Canis lupus familiaris: one gene and its partners. The protein of the gene in region 1 interacts with the protein of each later gene in a pairwise test. Links are inferred from orthologs where the notes say so. Each region holds a gene or a part of one and is shown on either strand. Other genes may lie near its edges.

Region 1 (4,122 bases):
AATGAGAGAACATGTGCAATGTAATCCCTGAATATATCATTATTTCAAAGTTATGTACTCTAACTTATACCCCAAGACATAGGTGGTTTTACACAATGCTTTCTATGATCTCCAAATTTAAGTAATATCTTAGGTAAGGTTATTAATTTTGACAAAGGTTTATTTTTTCCAATTGCATGTTTAGAAAAATAATTACAAAGTTATTATTTTTATATCTCAATTTTCCTGAACTAAGGTATATTAGCCTTAGTCTTTCTCAAACGTTTCCACTTTATCCCATGGACTTAATGATTTTCCCCAATCAACTCTTTTTCTTCTGTAGCTTAAGAAAAAGTCTTTTTCTTATATCTGTTCTTGTGTACATATGTACCTATACATAAGGTGACTATACAGACGCAGCATAATCCTTTACTGTAAAGCAAAATAAACTCTGAACTAGGTATGTTCCTATTTCCATAACTAATGAAAGGAGAGAGATATGGCTATAAACGACAGTTATGAAAGTAGATGCAGAACTTTTTATACACATACCTGAACTGTCTGGACTTGTGGAGACTGAATAACTGATGGCTGGGCCGCCTGAATAACGCCATGGACTTGAACTGTCTGCCCATTGGGCAGCTGTACTAAAGTTACGGTGGGAGCAGATGATGTTGCATGAGCTGCTGGCATAGATACCTATGGTGTTGAACATGGAAAAAAATTACCATCACAGATACCTCCTTAAGAGTAGTCATGTTCAATATGAAGCAACGTTTTTAGCAGGAAAAAGATGACTTTTCTGCTAGACAAGTATTTCATTGGTGTGAAAGAAACTAATGATTAAATTTAATATTCTCAAAAAAAGAAGAAAAAAAAAAGACTATAAATGCCCCTCCCTTTCAAATCCTTTTATGTGACAAAAACTATTTTAATGTAATATCAAAATGTATAACACAGACTTCCTCTGATTACTAAGTACACTTTAATTGTATGGTGCTTTATATTTTCCTACCTGCTTTCATATCCGGTTTCTCATTTTGCTCTTCGAAGAAATCAAGACTGTATTATAATAAGGATTATCTCCATTTTAGAGACAGAGTATCAAGTGCTCAAGAGATTAAATAACTTACCCAAGGTCAAGAGATATGCTAGCTTGAAGAAATATAAATGTCTTCAGGATATTATTATGTGTTAAGTTACTCATATTCTAAAATATAAATGTTCTCCAACTTAGCCAAAACTTAACTGTTTAGAACAAATACACGTCTTGAAATATACAGCATAGTTTTCTCTTTTAAACTAATTACAAGTATGCCTTTATTAGTGAGAAAGTGTTAATATGTATTATAAACTGACAATTTCTACCCGCCCCCCCAATCAAACTTATATAACAGTTGTATTTTAAGGATTTGTTTTCTCCTGGAAGGAATAAAAGAGCAGACTTCAGGGAATATAAGAAATATTACTTTCTCCTGAGGCACAAAGAAGGCAATTTTAGTGAGTCTATATCCAGGTCCAAATGGCTGTTATGTCATATGTCTATCCGATGGTATTTATTGTTCCTGCTTGAACACACTCAGGGGTTCAACATTTTTTGCTCATTCGGTAAACAGTGATTGGGGACCCACATGCTAGGAGCAATGTCAGAACTGAAACTATAAACATGAAGGAAATTATTGGGGTACATGTGTGAAGGAAGGGAGAAAAAGAACACAAATAAATATAATCCAGTGAAGTAATGAGACTTGCCAGGAGAAAAATGAACACACTGAGGAAAGCTACCCAACCTCACCTAAGAGGAAGGGAGGGCAAAATAAGAATTTGAAACAAAGAATACAGATTAGGCTGTATTTTGACTCCTAGGGGAGAGCCACAAAATTTCAGGGAAGGAGGGATGAGTAACAGTCAGTACTACTGGACCACATAAGGGTATTACTATATGAATTATACACTGGGGCAAGATAATACTGTAACAAGTAGGGCAGGATTGAATGAGCTAGTCATGAAAAACCGTATCTATGTCACATTAAAGAAGTTGCACTTTATCCTGAGGAGACTGAGAAAGGCAGTGAAGGGCTTTTGAACTCTGGAATATCATGGTGAGATTTGCATTTCAAATAGATCACTTCAGTGGCAGTATGAAAAACATTTATTTAAGAGAAAGAAAAATGTGGAGAAGAGGAGACTTAGGAGAAAACTTACATAGTAGTTAAGGTGAAATGATGAAGCCAGAAATAAAGCACTAGTTGTGATGGGGGGAAAATGAGAGAAGTGATTTAATGAAAATTCAGGAGGCAGACTAGAAAGGATATTATGAATGACTGCTTGAAGGAGGTCAGAGAGGAATCCAGGATGACCCATATATTTCATGTTTGTGTAAGAATTGGTAAACTATGCCATCAACCAAAACCAAGAACACAAGAAGTAAGGAGAAGCTTTTGCGTGGCTGGGGTGAAGGTGGATGGTGGAACTGATCTGATATCTGAATCTGTTCAGCAGGTAGTTAAACATCTGACTGTGAAGCTTGGGGGCGGAGGGTTGGGGGGAAGATCCTTATTGAAAGCTGATGTTAAAACTAGAAGCATCCATCTTTGGGTAGTTACGAAGTCCCTCCTTATTAATCATTTTCTCTCTGGCCACTATAAATCTTGCTTAGTTTTATCTGGTTCTCAAAATGTAGTTCATGGACTACCTCCATTACCTGTTTATAAAGTCGGACTCTCCTGGCAAAGCTAAGGACACCTTCCCCTACACTAAAGTCTGAGAATGACAACATTAAGTTACTCAGAGTATCTACTCTTACTTCCATACAAAAGCTCTTCTGATAGTTCAAGCATTTATTATATCCTCTTCTCTATTTTATAGAACAAATGTGAGAAGCTAACTCAGTTAATCCCTTTTCTACCCTGATCATTCTACATAACAGCTCCTAACACTGTAATTTTATAAACGGTACAGATATACAAGGTAAGATAAAAATTCCTTATATTCCTACCACTAATCACTGTTAATATTTTTGCTGTAGATGTAGGTGTTTTGCAAGGTGCATATATGCACTCAATTTTTATACACTATCATGGAATCTAATTTATCTTTTGAATCCATTATAAACCTCTCTCCATACCACTAACAATTTTCTTCAGTGGTTTTAATGGCTGCATAATAAAAATTACATACTTTTGTTTAATAAATTCCATTTTTTGGATATTTAGGTTTTCATATTTGCCTATTAGAAAAAGTTGGAATGATCACCCTTTTACCTCTATAGTTAAATCCATAAAAATTTACAGTCTCTTATTCAAAACCATTATTTTTTTTCCTTCCCACTTAAAAAAAAAAAAATTCCGTAGGGGCATCTTGTGGCTCAGTCAGTTAAGCATATGACCCTTGAACTCAGCTCAGGTCTTGATCTCCAGGTTGTGAGTTCAAGCCCCGCACTTAAAACAAACAAAACAAAACAAAACAAAAAAAACTTCTGTAAATTCCAAATGCAAAATGAGGCATTTTGCATTATTGTTTTAGATTGGTTATCTTCCTTTACTAGTTGGGCTGAATTTTTTTCTGTTCATTGTTCAAATCACTACAATCTTAAGATTTGACAATTTTATTATTTTTTTTAGTATTAAATACTGACAACCAAAAAATACCAGCTATCAAAATTATGATAGGAAATTATGACAAAAATGTAAAATGTGTACGGTAAGGACTTGGATGAGCAAGTGAAAAAATTCTGTAATTAGGAATAAAAAGAACAAAAACTATATAAATGGGAATAGAAAACTAGCTTTTCTATAACTCAAACAACATGTCATTGTTCTTGGACTGCCTAATAAAGATGACAGATTAAACATGTGTATATTATTTTGCTCCTTTCTGAATCTCCAATTAAATTTCATAAAATTGATTTTGTTTTTACAGGTCCAATCACATGAGCAAAGAGTGGGAAAAGAGATGAGAGTAATAGTTTTGGATGCTGGGAAGACGGATGAATGGTAATGGACTTTGAAGATCTCAAAAGGCCAACTCATGATGTAGAGGCAAGGAAAGCCTGATTTGCACCATAAAATCCTTAAGAGGCTCAGTATCTAAGACACCTTGGAAGGTGGAGTAAAGAGAGAGGCTGAGAAAATAAGGCTAGTT
Region 2 (4,873 bases), on another chromosome or scaffold:
GGGAGGGACGATATGGGGATAAAGGAGCAACTGGCTTTCCTTTACTCAGAACCCACGGTTCTGGCTTGGTTTGAACTTTTTTTTTTTTTTTTTTTTTTTTGAGATTTAGCTATTTATTTTGAGAGAGTACACGCGTGCATAAGCAAGAGGGGCAGGGGGAGAAGGAGAGAGAACCCCAAGCTGACTCCCTACTGAGCACAGAGCCTGATGCAGGGCTCCATCCAACGACCCTGAGCTTTTGAGCTCAGGACACTCAACCACCTGCGCCACCCATGCGCCCTTGTCGTTTGTTTCTAAGAGCACTAATTGAGGGGCCATGATTCACTGGGGTTTTTTCAATAGTAAAACAACTACTTGGAGGAGGGAGCAGGAACCAAGATACATCACACATCTTGATACCCCTGATATTTGTTCTTCAAAGAGAATATTGCCATCCCTTTGGACAGTAAACAGAGATAGAGCCATAACCAAACAGCAGCCAGGGCCTCTACCCCCCTACTTGAACATTTAGAATGCACACAGATACAAAATAGTGAGCATTTCCTTAGCCAGAATAATGAAGCTTCCCAAAAGTGGGCATTCATCCCAGCACCCTCTCTCCCATGAGCAGCATATGTGCTACATTGTGAATTACCAAGTGGACTTCACAGGTGCCAATATGGCTGGTTCCAGACTGGTTAGAAATCCACCTCTTACCCTCAGTAGTGTTTCTTGCTAAGGTTCCCCTGAGGAAAGAATGTCTTTGACCCCAGCTAGTAAAACTAAATCAGAAATAGATTTATAGATTTTTAGCCCCAGACCCTCCCGCTTTGCTCCTCTCTCAACCCCCTTTCAACCAACCACTTTTAGGTGTTGATTTCCAAGGATTGGTGCCGATTAGGGGTGCTGGGGGGTTGGCACATGGCTTCAAGCAGCCTGATCTCATGGGTGGGTTGCTCAGGCTGGAACTTGAGCACCCAAGGATCCTTGATGATGTCCAGGATGGTGGCACGCTTGGTGGCTTGGCATAGTGTCTGAAGGACCAGATTCTAGGGCAGAGGAGAGAGAGGTCTTGGCTGAGCTTGCCCCCCATTGTGCCACACAGGCAACTAGCTGTTGGACCTGAGAGAGAAGCAAGATAGCCCATCACACCACTCTGGTGAAAGGGGGTATGGCCCTGATTTTATCTTGAAGAGCCTGGCATTTATCTCCTTGGAGGAGAAGGGAAGGAAGGGTTCCCTGGGGGAAAACCCTTACATAATCCCCTCCTGGCCTAAAGAGACAAGAGGCTGAAACCTGCTTATCCCTCACACGCCCAGGGGTAGCCCTTTAACTCCCTCCCCAGCAACTACTCTAGGGTAGGGGCTCAAGTGTGAGATTGCTCTGGTGGGGAAGAGCTTCCCCCAGGGTGGGGACGCCTAGGATGGGTATTCCCTCCCTGTAGGTTATCCCCAAGGCCTCAGCCCGCCTGGGGGAGCCAGCACCTTGCACTCCTGAGAGATGGAGTAGTTAGATGGAAAAGTGACCTCCTTTTGAGTCTCTTTCAGCAGCTTCTTGAGATTGGTGTCATCAAAGGGCAGCCGGGCGACCACTAGAGTGTAGAGGATGACGCCCATGCTCCAGGTGTCAGACAGGAAAGGGTTGTAGGGCAAGCCCAGCAAGATCTCCGGGCATGCGTAAGCAAAGCTGCCACAGTAGGTCTGGCTGAGGTGCGTAAAGCAGTTCATTTGGCGGTAAGAAGGGCTACTATGCATTCTCTGGTTAGAAGGCACCATCTTGGCGAAGCCAAAGTCTGAGATCTTCACGTTCTCCCGCTTGTCCAGCAACAGGTTCTCCAACTTTAAGTCCCTACCAGCAGCAGAAAGGCTGGGGGTCAGGCTGGGAAGAGGGCTCAGTATTAGACCGGGAGCTGAAGGGCCAGGGGTCAGAGGCTAGAGGTGGAAAGGCAGAGTGGGAGAGAGGCACGGTCATGAGGACACAAGGTAGAGAGGGAGGAGCCGCGGAGTTGTGAGCAGAGCCGCGAGGTGAGAGAGGAGGGTACCTGAGGACCACTGGGGCTCATCATTGTACTTCATAGAGTGCCGTGCTCACAGAGGGCGCTACATAAACATTCTTGAGCAAAGCATTACAATAGAGGGGATGAATAGGCCTAGATAACCGAGGAAGGTTGAGGGAGGGGAAAAAAAAGGGAAGAAAATGGGAGACCCCAGCCTGGGTGGCCGTGCCCTCACCGGTGCACGATGCCCTTGCTGTGCAGGTAGGCGATGCCCAGGGTCATCTGGGAGAACCACTTGCCAGCAAGGGGCTCAGAGCAAGCCCCGTACCGCTGGATCCACTCGAGGACATCACCACCCTGAGCCAGCTCCAGAATGATGTATACTCGGGATGTGGTTTCAATGGCCTGATAGAAGTTGATGAGGTACTTGTGCCGCAGGACCTTCATTACCTGGCCCCAGAAGAGGGATCCATCAAACCTAGGAAGGGAGAACCCTGGCTGTGCTCCCAGCCCTCCTGCCATCCCACTGCTAACCTACTTAGAACCATGCAAAAGGATTAAATTCCAGAGAGCTGGTGGGCTGTGGGTGAACCCTATGCTTTGGACTTTTACTTTGTGAGGGCCTGTGGGTGAATGGAAAGAGGTTGAATTTACATGGAGTCCTTTTCCTGCTGCTCAGTAAGACATTCAGCCCTGATTGTGGGGGAGGGAACAGGTGTGCTGGCTCCTCCCCTTCCTGACCCTACCCTCTTCTGAGAAGTCTTTAGCAACTCAGTATGAGTTCCCTCTTCCAGCCCCCTTTCCAACCTGTATCTCACGGGGCAGGAACTTGTTAAGATAGTCCTCAGAGGCCTTCTTCTTTGAGATGATCTTGACAGCCACCATGACCTTTTGCTTTGTGTAGTAAGCTTCGTACACCGTCCCATAGGAGCCATTGCCAATGACCTTGCCCATCTCGTAACCGTACTCCTCCATTACAGAGCGGTAGGCAGAGGGGGTTGGTGCTATCTCCAAGGTGTCTCCCTTCCCCATGGTGTCAGGCTTGCTGAGAGCAGGGAACTTTGCTACTTAAAAGCCTATTTATCTGCTCAGAAAGCCAACCTTGAGCTACTGAGGGCTAGGATACCAAAGTAAAGTTAGTCTCCAAATGCTTGCCTATATAGTCACGCGAGTCTGGGGTGCTGAGCTCAACTCTCCACTAGGAACGTGGAGGGGGATGAAGGGAGCAGCAGTTCTTTTTTGTTCCCACTAGCTGTTGTTACTTCTTTCTCCCCCTGGTTACGGAACTCCCAAGGTCCTGTGTTCCATATACCTCACAATTCACCTTCTTTGTGCCCCTGGCCATGAGGCTTGAGAATGAAGTGCACTGTGGAATATATTCCTGGAGGCAACCTCTGCAACCTGGTGAGATGCCCGCCCCCCTGCCCCGGCCAAGATCTAGTCCCTTCAACCATCCACGTTTATGGAACACCCACTGTGTGCCAGGCAGTGTGCGAGTACTGGGCCAAAATAGCCCATAACGCCAACAGAGACCCTCTGCTCCTAGAGTGTATTCTCCAGCATGAGAAACACGTGTGAGGATATTACAGAGACTTACAAGGTGTTGGAGAAGCCTATTCTAAGGAATCTTAACCTTAAGTGATTTTTTTTTGTTTTTTGTTTTTTTTTTGGCTTAAAGCAACCGCCTTTTTTCTTTTTTTCTTTTGCAAGTTGAGGTGGGCTCAGTGGCTGGTTCTTCTGGTGGCCTCATCTTAATTGGGATGGCTTGTTTCTGCTGTATATGGTCTCACTATCCAGGGGACTAGCCAGAGTTCTTTGACATAATAGCACTGAATTTTAAGAGGAAAAAAAAAGAGAAATTGCATGGTCACGTGAAGCCTAGACTCCAAAGTTGCAAAACCTCACTTCTACACCTTTATACAAGTAAAGACAGTTACAGGGTTACAAGGATCTCTCAGATCGAAGGGGTGTAATAGACTCCACCTGTGAACCCTGAAATGCATTCTTGTCTTGCTTTCCATGACCCTAAGTTCTATAGTTTTACTCCTATCCTTCTAGCCATTCCTCAGACTTCCCTGGAGCCTTATCTTCTTTATCTATCCCTCCATCATATCCTGAAGGTTCTACCACAGGCCTTATTTCCTCAAAGCTTTATGTCCTCCCATTAGGATCTCACCCATTCCCAACATTACATCAATGCTGACTGCTCCTAATCTCATCTCTATCCCAGATGTCCCCTGGAGTTCCAGCACCAGTTGCTCACTGGACAGCACATGGACATGTCTTCCCCAAGTATCTTAAACTCACCCTGTCCAAAACTGAACTCTTTAGGTTCTTGCTCTAGACTTTCTCTGTTAAGTTCTATACTCATTGCTTCAATTTACACACCCAGGTGTCATCCTAGACCCTTCTGTCTGCCTTAGCCCCTACATCCAATCTGTCACCTCTTCTCCCTCCTAATTATCTTTCATAATACATTCTGGGATCTCGGAGCAGCTGCCACTGTCTTAGGTCAAACCTCCATCAACCGATCACTCTAGCAAGCTTTCTGCTCCCCTCAGGTCTTCACCCTGAACTCCAAGGCATAACACTGGTTTTATTCCCACCTAAAACAATTCATTGCCTCCCCTTTCTCCTCAGGATCAAGTCCAAATTCTTTTTTTTTTTTTAAACCAGAACATTTATTTTGACTAATCGTTGAAATCCTTAAGATGAACTGGATGCTGCAACAGCTGCCCTCTTGGGCTTAGGTGTCGTTCCTTCACAGAATCCATGCCTGAATCTGCGGTATACAATTTTTAGGTGCTTCATTCTACCAGTCCCAGTGGTATTTCGTTTTTTAGCCTTGGCACTCCCAGTTATACTTTCTCTTCCGCTTGGCAGGGTAGCCACACTTGC
Region 3 (4,892 bases), on another chromosome or scaffold:
CATCCCACCTGTTCACAGGTATAGGTAAAACTTTGGCATATATTACAGGGGAAGGCTGCAGCCACAGGAGGGCAGAAAGGGAGCCTGCATCAGGTGGGTTCGCTCACCTGCACCTGCACCAGGCACTGCAGATGTGCCACTCATCACATGCAACAGCCAAACAGGCCTGTAAAGAGCTTGCTCAACCTGGTCCCAGGTGTGGGAAAAGCTACCAGCCCATCCAAGATGCCACAGCCATACAAGTGGGTGCAGAGCTCTGAACTCTATCTGCCCAGGTACAAAGCTTGTACCCCTGCCCACTCAACATCTCCTCCAGACTGAAGGGTTTTTAGCCTCAGCACTGCTGACGTTTAGGACCGCATCACTCTCTGTGGTGGGGGCCATCCATGAATCGTGAGGTGTTGAGCAGCATCCCTGCTCTCTACCCACTAGATGCCAGTAGCACCCCCTCCCCCAGACGAAACAACCAAAATGTCTCCAGACATTGCCCAATGTCCCTGCAGGACAGAATCGCCCCCGATACGGAACACTGCTCTGTCTCATGAGATCCAGTGTAAGCTCACCTCCGCCCAGGGTCACGCCCAACTCCCAGTATAAAGGAAGGTAACAGAGAGGGAGGAAGGAAACAGAGAATGGTTACCAGGACTGAGAGAATGACTGCATATTTTACAAGTCTTTTCTAACTCCATCAATAGATGACATATAAGCAAATGTGCTCCACGCATTCAATGGAGTATTACTTGGCTATTAAAAGCAATGAAATGGGGATCCCTGGGTGGCTCAGCAGTTTAGTGCCTGTCTTCGGCCCAGGGCGTAATCCTGGAGACCCGGGATCGAGTCCCACATCAGGCTCCCTGCATGGAACCTGCTTCTCCCTCTGCCTGTGTCTCTGCTTCTCTCTCTCTCTTATGAATAAATAAATAAAATCTTAAAAAAAAAGGGCAATGAAATTCTTAGATACATGCTAATGTGGATGAAACTTGAAAATATTATGCTGAGTGAAAGAAGCCAGACACGAAAGGTCACATGTTGTACGATCCCATGTATACGAAACGTGCAAAATAGGTAAATCCATAGACACAGAAAGCAGACTGGTGGCTGCCATGGGCCAGGGGAGGGCAGAATGGGAGTGACTGCCCATGAGGATGGGATTTCTTTTGAGGGTGATTAAAGTGTTCTGGAATTAGACACTGGCGATGGTTGCACAACCCTGTAAATATACTAAAATCCACTGGCTTTTACACTTTCAACAGGTGAATTATATGTTACACAAACTATATCTCAATAAAGCTGTTATTTTAAAGAAATCTTTTTAAATACAATAATACATTTCCAACCTCAATGCAGAAACCAGACCTCCAGTCGTGATGACAGCCATCAACCTAATATGACCTCCTTCTTCCTGTTACACTACATACACCTTCTGCATGAGGCAAGATAAAGTGGACATTCCTGCCCTCAGAAGCCCTGACTTATAGGAACACTCAAGGTACATGCTCACTTGCTTGCTTTGCTTGCTTTCATTCATTCAATCACCAACCATCTCCTTCTCTACATGCTAAGCAAAAACATGAGCTGCTAGAGCAAGAACAGGCAGTACCTGGTCAATGGTGAGCACCCCAACAACATGTGGCAAACAAACACACAGAAATGAAGATACACATTCTAGCCTATATGGTCGTGATCTCACAGAGAAACAGGTGAGTAATTAGAAGAGTTTGACTTGAAAATTGCACCTGAAGAATTAGAGACTGAGGCTCTTGTCACAGAGGTATGTCTGCCTAGAACAGTCAGATCAGAGGCAGAGTCCAGAAACCAGCCATATGCATGTCTGCAGCTCCCATCCAAATCCTCCCTGAGGCCTTAAGATGCAGGACAGGGGGGAGGGTCCCACCACTCTATAGGAATGCAGCAGAGACTTACTGCCACCTGTGCAAAGCGTGCTCTCCTCCTTGACCCACAAGGACTTGCCAGACACACTCGACAAAACAGGATACTAAGGCCTGAGAAGCTTGGTACCTCAGTGCAGTCATGTGGCCAGAGAGCTGGGCCCAGAGAAGGGCCAGGCCTCCCACTCCTCTAGGGGCCAACAGTAGCTTCCCAGGCGAGGTGAGCAGGTAACCTGGCCTGCCTCTGCAGGCCAAACACACCCAGCAACTTAAGGAAGAATTGTCCCTCCACCCTGGTCCCTGAGAGACCAGGAGCCATCCGTGGCCAGCTGTCCCTTATCTCAGTGGGAGGAGCACACCTGGTCCCCACCATATGGGCTACCTGAGGAAGGGGTAGCAGTTTCCACTCCAAACTCCAGGATGGAGAACAATCTGCCTTCTTAACCACCCCCAGGTTCCCACAGGAGACGACACCAAAACTTTCCTTCAGATAATCCAAAAGTGAGAAATACCTATCCCACCTCAAGTCTGCAAATAGGGATACCTGTCCTTCCTCCAACACCCAGAGAGTGAAGGCACAGATGACAAAGATGTAGAAAGAACCTGTCCCTTCAGATAGCAATGATGTGGGGACAGCTGTTCCCCTCAGATCTCAGTGATGTGGGGGCACTTGTCCTGCACCAGGTACCAACGATATGGAAACACCTATCCCCCTCCCCAGGCAACAATGATGCTTACAAGCAGCGCCCAGTTCATACACCTCACAGTGCCATCCTGTCTCCCCTAGGTAGCAGTGATATGGAGGCATGTGACCCCTTCAGGTAGAAGGGATATAGAGACACCTGTCCCTCCTCAGGTACAGTGATGTGGTGGCTGGCACCTATTCCCTCCAGGTAGTAATGATGTAGAGGCCACCGTCCTCTCCGGATAATAATGATGTAGTGACACCTATCCCCACCTCCAGGTAGCAATGATGTGGGGGCACCTGAACCCTTTCAGGTACCGGTGATGTGGGGGCACCTTTCCCGCCCACGATGTCCGGGGCGTAGGGACACCTGTACCCTCCGGCTGTGCCAAGCCCCGCCCCGCCGCACGCGCCCCGCCCCCGCCGCGCGCCCCCCGCCCCGTGCACACGCCGGACACGCGCCCCCTCCCTCTCTTCCCGGCCCCGAAGGGTCGGCGCGGACAGCCCCCTTACCCGCGCGGCCCGCGTCAGGCTCAGGTCCTTCATGACCTCCTCGAAGGCCGCTGTCTCCTCTGCCTGCTTCTGGTTGTGCAGCGCGATCTTCTCGCTGAATTTCCGCGGATTGTTCGAAGTCGCCATCTTCTCGCCGCCGCCTCCTCCTCCTCCTCCTCCTCCACCTCCTCACCCCCCCCCACTCGCCAGTGCCACCGCGCAAGCGCCGGCCGGGCCCGCGGGCGGCGGGCAGTGCGCAGGCGCGTTGGTGGTCGTGAGTGCGGCGCAGGCGTACGGGAGCGGCGCGCGGCGCGGGGGCGACTGCGCATGCGCACGTCTCAGGGGCGCGTTTGGGTCCAGCAGAGGAGGCGGGAGGCGAGGGGCGGGAGGTGGGAGCGAGAGTAGGTTTTGGGCACATGCGTAGTGAGTAGACTCCTGGCCCGCTGGACAGCGGCCGCCTGGCTGTTGGACAAGCATGGTTCGCGGACCGGCTGGGGCGCCGGAGCCCCCAAGGAGACTGCCGGACCCAAAACCTTCCAGTTTACAAGGATGGGGCCAGCAACCCACAAGGACAGGTAGCACCCCGATGCTGAGCCGGGACTAGGACTGTTTGAGACCAACCAGTCCAGGGAGTTGCTCATTCATGCATTCATTCATTCAACGAATATTTATTGAGCGCCAGTATGTGCCAGAAACACTGGGGAAAAGGCGTGAGCAAGCAGATGTGGTCCCTGACCTGATGGGGTGCGCAGTTAGGGAGGGGGGACAAACATAAGCAACCAACAGATGACCCAAGAACATTTCTGATGGAGATAATTGTGATGTGGAAAATAAAACTAGTAATGGACTGGCAGGATATTGATGATAGGAAGGGAGGCTCCCAGCCACCACTGTCAGGGAAGTAGGGAGGCATTTGAACTGAGACCTGAACCTTGCCAGCAGCCTCCACAGCCCAAAATCCCAGGCATCGAGCCGCCTGGGTGGTTGTGGTTGAGCATCTTCCTTGGGCTCAGGGCGTGATCCCAGGCTCCTGGGATCGAGTCTCACATCGGAATCCTCGCAGGGAGCCTGCTTCTCTCTCTGCCTATGTCTCTGTCTCCTCTCTGTCTCTCATGAATAAATGGATAAAATCTTAAAAAAAAAAATAGGGATCATCTTTAACATCTTGCTTTCCCTATCACCTTACATTCGACCAGTTTCTACTCTCTGGACTCTTAATCCTGAAGGAACATAGGTTTGCCATGGGGAGCCCAGAAGTCCCACCTAGACTACATCCCACAGTGAGAAGGATAGCAGGGTCTTCCCAGTGGCAGGAGGGTGAACCAGGGAAACAAGAAACGTTCTGACATCTAACTCTCCCTTCCCAAGCAGAGGGACCATGACCACCAATATCAAATATTGGTTTATATTCAGGAGGCTTCAGGGGTTTCTAGGCATGGACAGGGTGGGAGCCAAGAGCAGCAGCCAGGGGAATGTGCGATAGCTCTAATTGCACAAAAACCACACTTAAAAGAAAGAAGCAAAGAGAAAAGAAAAATTGATTTTTATTTTTTAAATATTTTATTTATTTATTTATTCATGAGAGACAGAGAGAGAGAGAGGCAGAGACACAGACACAGGCTCCCATGCGGGGAACCTGACGTGGGACTTGATACCGGGACCCCAGGATCACGCTCTGGGCTGAAGGCGGCGCTAAACTGCTGAGCCATCCAGGGATCCCGAAAAATTTATTTTTAAATTTTTAAAAAAGATTTTATTTATTCATGAGAGACACAGAGAGAAGCAGAGACATAGGCAGAGGAAGCAGGCTCCCTCTGGGGAGCCTG
Region 4 (4,565 bases), on another chromosome or scaffold:
TCGAATCCCATGTCGGGCTCCCGGTGCATGGAGCCTGCTTCTCCCTCTGCCTGTGTCTCTGCCTCTCTCTCTCTCTCTCTCTGTGTGACTATCATAAATAAATTTTAAAAAAAAAAGTATTTATCAATACAATTAACAATGAGGCATCAAGCTGACATAAATAACACTTTCAATTAAAAATTACTATTTTTCCCAAAAAGAGTAACCTTTTTTTTTTTTTTTTTACATTTTTGCCTAAATTTAAGGTCTAGCTTAATAGAAAGCAGCTGGATTCTCATAGTGTTTATGCATTCAGTCTGTTGCTGTAGACTATCTGGCCTCACAGCAGGAAAAAGGAAAAGTATTCAAAAACCTTTTCAGACAGCTGTGTATATTGACACAATACTAAAACTCGACAAATGGTAGTTTCTTTTTTTTTTTTTAAGGTTTTTTTATTTATTCATGGGAGACACAGAGAGAGGTAGAGACATAGAGGGAGAAGCAAGCTCCTCACAGGGATCTCGATGTGGGACTCGATCCTTAAACTGGGATCATGCCCTGAGCCAAAGGCAGATGCTCAACCACTGAGCCACCCAGGCGTCCCCAAATGGTAGTTTCTTAAAGAAGAGTTGCATCTTGGAATCTGAATCCCTATCAATGAACTTTTCATATTTTATTACATTAAAATCCACTAGTGTACCTTGCATTCTGAAAGGATATTTACTTATGATGATTGTGAAATATCAGCATTGGTTGCTTGGAAAATATAGATTTACTGCGATGCCCATCCTCCAAATGTTGACATATTTCACTACAAATATAAATATAGAAAATATTTAAACTGTTAAACCTGAGATGTCAACTTTTGACAAATTCTAATTTTCACTCTCAAATTTTTATCATTGGTAACAAATACTGTCAATTGTTTCCTCAAAATAACATGCTCGCCTCGTTGTCAAGAAAATATAAGCGCAACCTTAAAGTGTGAAAAACTGTAGTTTGTCAGTTCTTTCAAGTGAAAATGCTGTTCCATGAAACAAGCAGCTCATAACTCAATCTCACAAGCGCTTTTCCTTATGAGAAGGACCGTACCTCCTTAGTCAGCAAAGTACTTTATGCATCCTTCCTATTCGATCAAAGATTCTTAAAACTTAAAAAAACCATGTACCCAAGGGTTGAGATTTAACAAAAATCATTTCTACTGTTTCATCAAGGCCATTTTCACACGGTGTTTCGTGTAACTGCCTTGCTTTGTGCTAACGGACCACCAGTTTTACTCAGCTTTGCTTTTTGGACCATCAGTGCAAATGTCACTGGAAGAAAGATAAATAGTGTCTTAGTATTTTCTACTTTGAAAATAGTTATGACCTCTCAGGTCCCCTGGAAGGCTCTGAATGATCCCCAGAGGTCAGTGGGTCACCTTTTCCAAGATTATATCACTGGTTCAAGGTTGGGGTGGAAACGAACAAAATCCTGTTCATCCCAAGAGTCTTCATCTTCTTAGTTCCTTTAGTTTGAGATACATCACCAACGTGACCGGTGTGTCATAACCGTAGTATAAGGGGAAGGAAATCAAGGACGTAATTTGCCATGAAATTGTTTTAAGATTGTATTTTGAGCACTTTTACGCTAAATCAACAGTTCTTTATGTGGCGGTTAAAATTTAGAGAAGATAGCACCACACACACCCTCCCCTTCCCACCTGAAAAGACTTGAGGACGAAGCCCCTAACACAGCACTTTCAGCAACCTCCAAGGTACTTTTTAGCTATCCCGAACTTAAAGATCTAGAGAACGAGTTCGAATTCAGAGTCCAACTCCCGGTCCCAAGAACAACACATCATGGTCTGGAAATTCAATGTTGTTCACCAAGGAGCAGCCCTCTCTGCCCCGCTCTTTCCCCTCCAACTAGATGGGGAAACTCCTTTGAAAGTAAAACTCCATTTCTGCAGGGTTTTGAACTGCAGTGGGAGGTGTCTAGAATGTAGAAGGCTGAGCTACAACCCGCAACAAGGTGGTGGTTCTGAGATGGTAAAATTGTCTTCCCGTGTGCATCTCAGAGAGGAGATGGGGCCAACTGACTTCCAAGCCTCTTCCCATCTCTTTTTCTGGGCTAAAGAAGGCCCAAGACAAGTGAGCTGAGCTATGTCCACAGTTAGGAACAGCGTGGAGGAATCCCGCGTCTGGCGGGAGAGGAAAACAGGGTCAGTGGCAGAAAGGAGGGGAGGCAGGTGGATCAACGACATCAGTCCTCCCCAGGAGGTGCTGAGAATCTAGACAAAATAGTCCCCGGGAGGAACATGGCGCCCACCGCGGCAGGATATAATCAGCCGAAAGAAAGGTTTTCCGCCCCATTCCATTTTACAAATCACGGCGCCAACGCAGAGAAATTTTAGGGCCAAGGGAGGAGACTTGGTAAACTAACTGCAGCGCACTACGGCTTGGGAGGTACTAGTGGACCGAGCGGCGATTACGTAACACAAGGGAGCGGCACAGCGACCCCTCATTTTCCTCCTCGCGCCCGAACAGCGCCCCAGTCCTAGGGAGGCGGGAGGGCGCGGCGGGAGAAGCGAGCGCTCCCCCCGGGACGTCACCTCGGCGCGGCCTCGCCCCCCGCCCGCCGACTCGCAGCCGCCCGCCCCCTCCCCCTCCCCCTCCCCCTCCCCGCGGGCCACCGCCCGCCGCCCGCCCACTCCTCCGAGACGCCTCGCGCCCGGCGTGCGTGTGGACGTCGGTGTGTGCGGGGCCGTGGGGCGCGAGTGCGCGCGCGCGCGCCGCGGAGGACGCCGGGGGGCGGGGGCGGGCGGCAGGCAGGCAGGCAGGCAGGCAGGGTCCGCCCGGCCCAGACCGTCGCGCGGCTCCCGAGCTCCCGCGGCTCCGGGGGCGCACGCGCTCGCGAGCCGCGCCCCATGCCCGCCGCCGCCGCCCGGGCCGCGCTGCACTCGCGGGGAGCAGGGGCGCGCGCCACCGGGCCCCTGCCCCCACCCCCCGCGCCCCCGCCCCATCCCCCTCTCATTGTCTCGCCTCCGAGCGCCTCGCCGAGCGAAAAGATAACGGAACCCCCGGGAGAAGGGGGTGGGGAGAAAGAAGGCTCGCCCGCTCGCTTACTCACCTCCCGTGGTCGTCGCCGCCGGTAGTCTGACCCGAGGAAGGCGCCGTCGCCTTAAAGGGACCTCGCACCCGGCGCCGGGAGAAGGGGGTGGGAGCAGGGGAGGGGACGGGGGCTTGGGGAGACGGCTGAGAGGGAACCGTGGAGAGCGCGTCTCCCCGCGGGGGAAAGGAAACCTCCCTCGGGTTCCAGTGACTTGGGGTGGATTTTTTTCCCGAGGGGGGCGGGGGGGCCCCGAGGGAGGGGGTGGGGGGGCCAAGGAATGCGGCTCCGTGTACGGGAGCTGGCGCGGGGGAGAGAGACGCCGACTCCCCCCACCGACCCTCTCGCTCCGCGGAGGGATACGTCTCGTCACTTCCGCCCTCCCCCTCTCGTGGCCTCGCAATTGGCTGCGGCGTGGGACACGTCATGGGCTCATCCTAACCCCTGCCCGGGCTTCTTTTCCAGTCAAGTTTGTCTGGACCTGCAAATAAATAAATAAATAAATAAATAAATAAATAAAAAACATTTAAGAAAAATGAAATAAGAATAATTAGCTTCAGAAGCAACAGCTAAATCTTGATGAGGAAAATGGAATTTCCAAGGAAAATAGTGCCCAATTCACTTGCCTGGACTTTCCAAAGAAATTTTGGGCACCTCCTCACTTTCCACTCAAGTCTTGTACCTAACCAAGAGGAGAACCTCATGCCACAGGCCAGGTGGTGAGACCCAATGGCACCAACAACTGTCCTTGGAACAAAGGCAGCAGAATGGCACATACTCTTCATCAGGAGGCATTTGGCCAAGTAGCCTTGTGGCAGTAGTCTTAAGTGAAGAACTTTTAAAAGCTATTTTTACTCTGAACCCTACTGGATTCTGGAAATAAATCACATATATTGCTTATCAAAGTGACTCATGTATGGAAACTGCTTTGAAGCCGTTTGTCAATAGACTCGGCACAAATCCTCAATTCTAAGAAACCATAGATTCTACATCTGTGCTTTTTGCTCCGATCAAGGCTGAGGGGGATTGGCTCAAAGAAAGGAGTCTATTCAAGACCAGCCACCTGTAATTTTTCCCCGAACAAGAAGTACCTCTTTTCCAGGTATCTAAGAAATTTAGTCCTTTTTTTACTTTCAGAGATGATAATATTGTAAAATTTTCCTTGGATATGTGAGTATGTTGTTGCTCTCTAAGCAATACACAAATATTTACTCCAAGCCAATGTAGATCAAAGTACTTTGTGCAAGATTGGGGAGAATCAGAACCATATTTATTCATTTTTTTATATATGTGCACTTTATTCAACCACCAGACTGAAAATAGGCGATGGAATTAGGCATTACAAATTGCTCCCTCATGCACCTGTGTGTACACAATGCCGTCCATTTTCATTCCACTTCATCTCATTTCATACTAAGTACATGTGAATGATCTCAAAGTGTCATTTTTAGCAAGAACTTTATTATTTGGATTGAAAAAAAAATCACCAATCCTTC

The links. The genes of interacting proteins can lie anywhere in the genome.
Region 2: the proteins of CREB1 (region 1) and TSSK4 interact in binary tests that used the Homo sapiens proteins (3 or more experiments, as listed by UniProt). The link is inferred for Canis lupus familiaris from reciprocal best matches to the Homo sapiens genes CREB1 and TSSK4.
Region 3: the proteins of CREB1 (region 1) and CRTC1 interact in binary tests that used the Homo sapiens proteins (3 or more experiments, as listed by UniProt). The link is inferred for Canis lupus familiaris from reciprocal best matches to the Homo sapiens genes CREB1 and CRTC1.
Region 4: the proteins of CREB1 (region 1) and POGZ interact in a two-hybrid assay, tested with the Homo sapiens proteins (2 studies listed by BioGRID and IntAct). The link is inferred for Canis lupus familiaris from reciprocal best matches to the Homo sapiens genes CREB1 and POGZ.

What each region holds. Positions count from the first base shown.
Region 1 is NC_049258.1:15,805,392-15,809,513, reverse strand, and holds part of CREB1 (cyclic AMP-responsive element-binding protein 1), read right to left. Parts: exon of another isoform or gene 3,975-4,122; coding exon of another isoform or gene 3,901-3,974; intron 2,950-3,900; exon of another isoform or gene 2,848-2,949; intron 679-2,847; coding exon 532-678; intron 1-531.
Region 2 is NC_049229.1:4,315,859-4,320,731, reverse strand, and holds TSSK4 (testis-specific serine/threonine-protein kinase 4), read right to left. Parts: upstream 3,272-4,873; 5' UTR 3,008-3,271; coding exon 2,783-3,007; intron 2,454-2,782; coding exon of another isoform or gene 2,426-2,453; coding exon 2,211-2,425; intron 1,858-2,210; coding exon 1,464-1,857; intron 1,102-1,463; coding exon of another isoform or gene 1,029-1,101; coding exon 846-1,028; 3' UTR 391-845; downstream 1-390. UniProt on the Homo sapiens protein: Serine/threonine kinase which is involved in male germ cell development and in mature sperm function. May be involved in the Cre/Creb signaling pathway. Phosphorylates CREB1 on 'Ser-133' in vitro and can stimulate Cre/Creb pathway in cells.
Region 3 is NC_049241.1:44,800,179-44,805,070, forward strand, and holds the start of CRTC1 (CREB-regulated transcription coactivator 1), read right to left. Parts: upstream 3,272-4,892; 5' UTR 3,214-3,271; coding exon 3,088-3,213; intron 1-3,087. UniProt on the Homo sapiens protein: Transcriptional coactivator for CREB1 which activates transcription through both consensus and variant cAMP response element (CRE) sites.
Region 4 is NC_049238.1:61,167,385-61,171,949, forward strand, and holds the start of POGZ (pogo transposable element with ZNF domain), read right to left. Parts: upstream 3,272-4,565; 5' UTR 3,091-3,271; intron 791-3,090; 5' UTR 680-790; intron 1-679. UniProt on the Homo sapiens protein: Plays a role in mitotic cell cycle progression and is involved in kinetochore assembly and mitotic sister chromatid cohesion.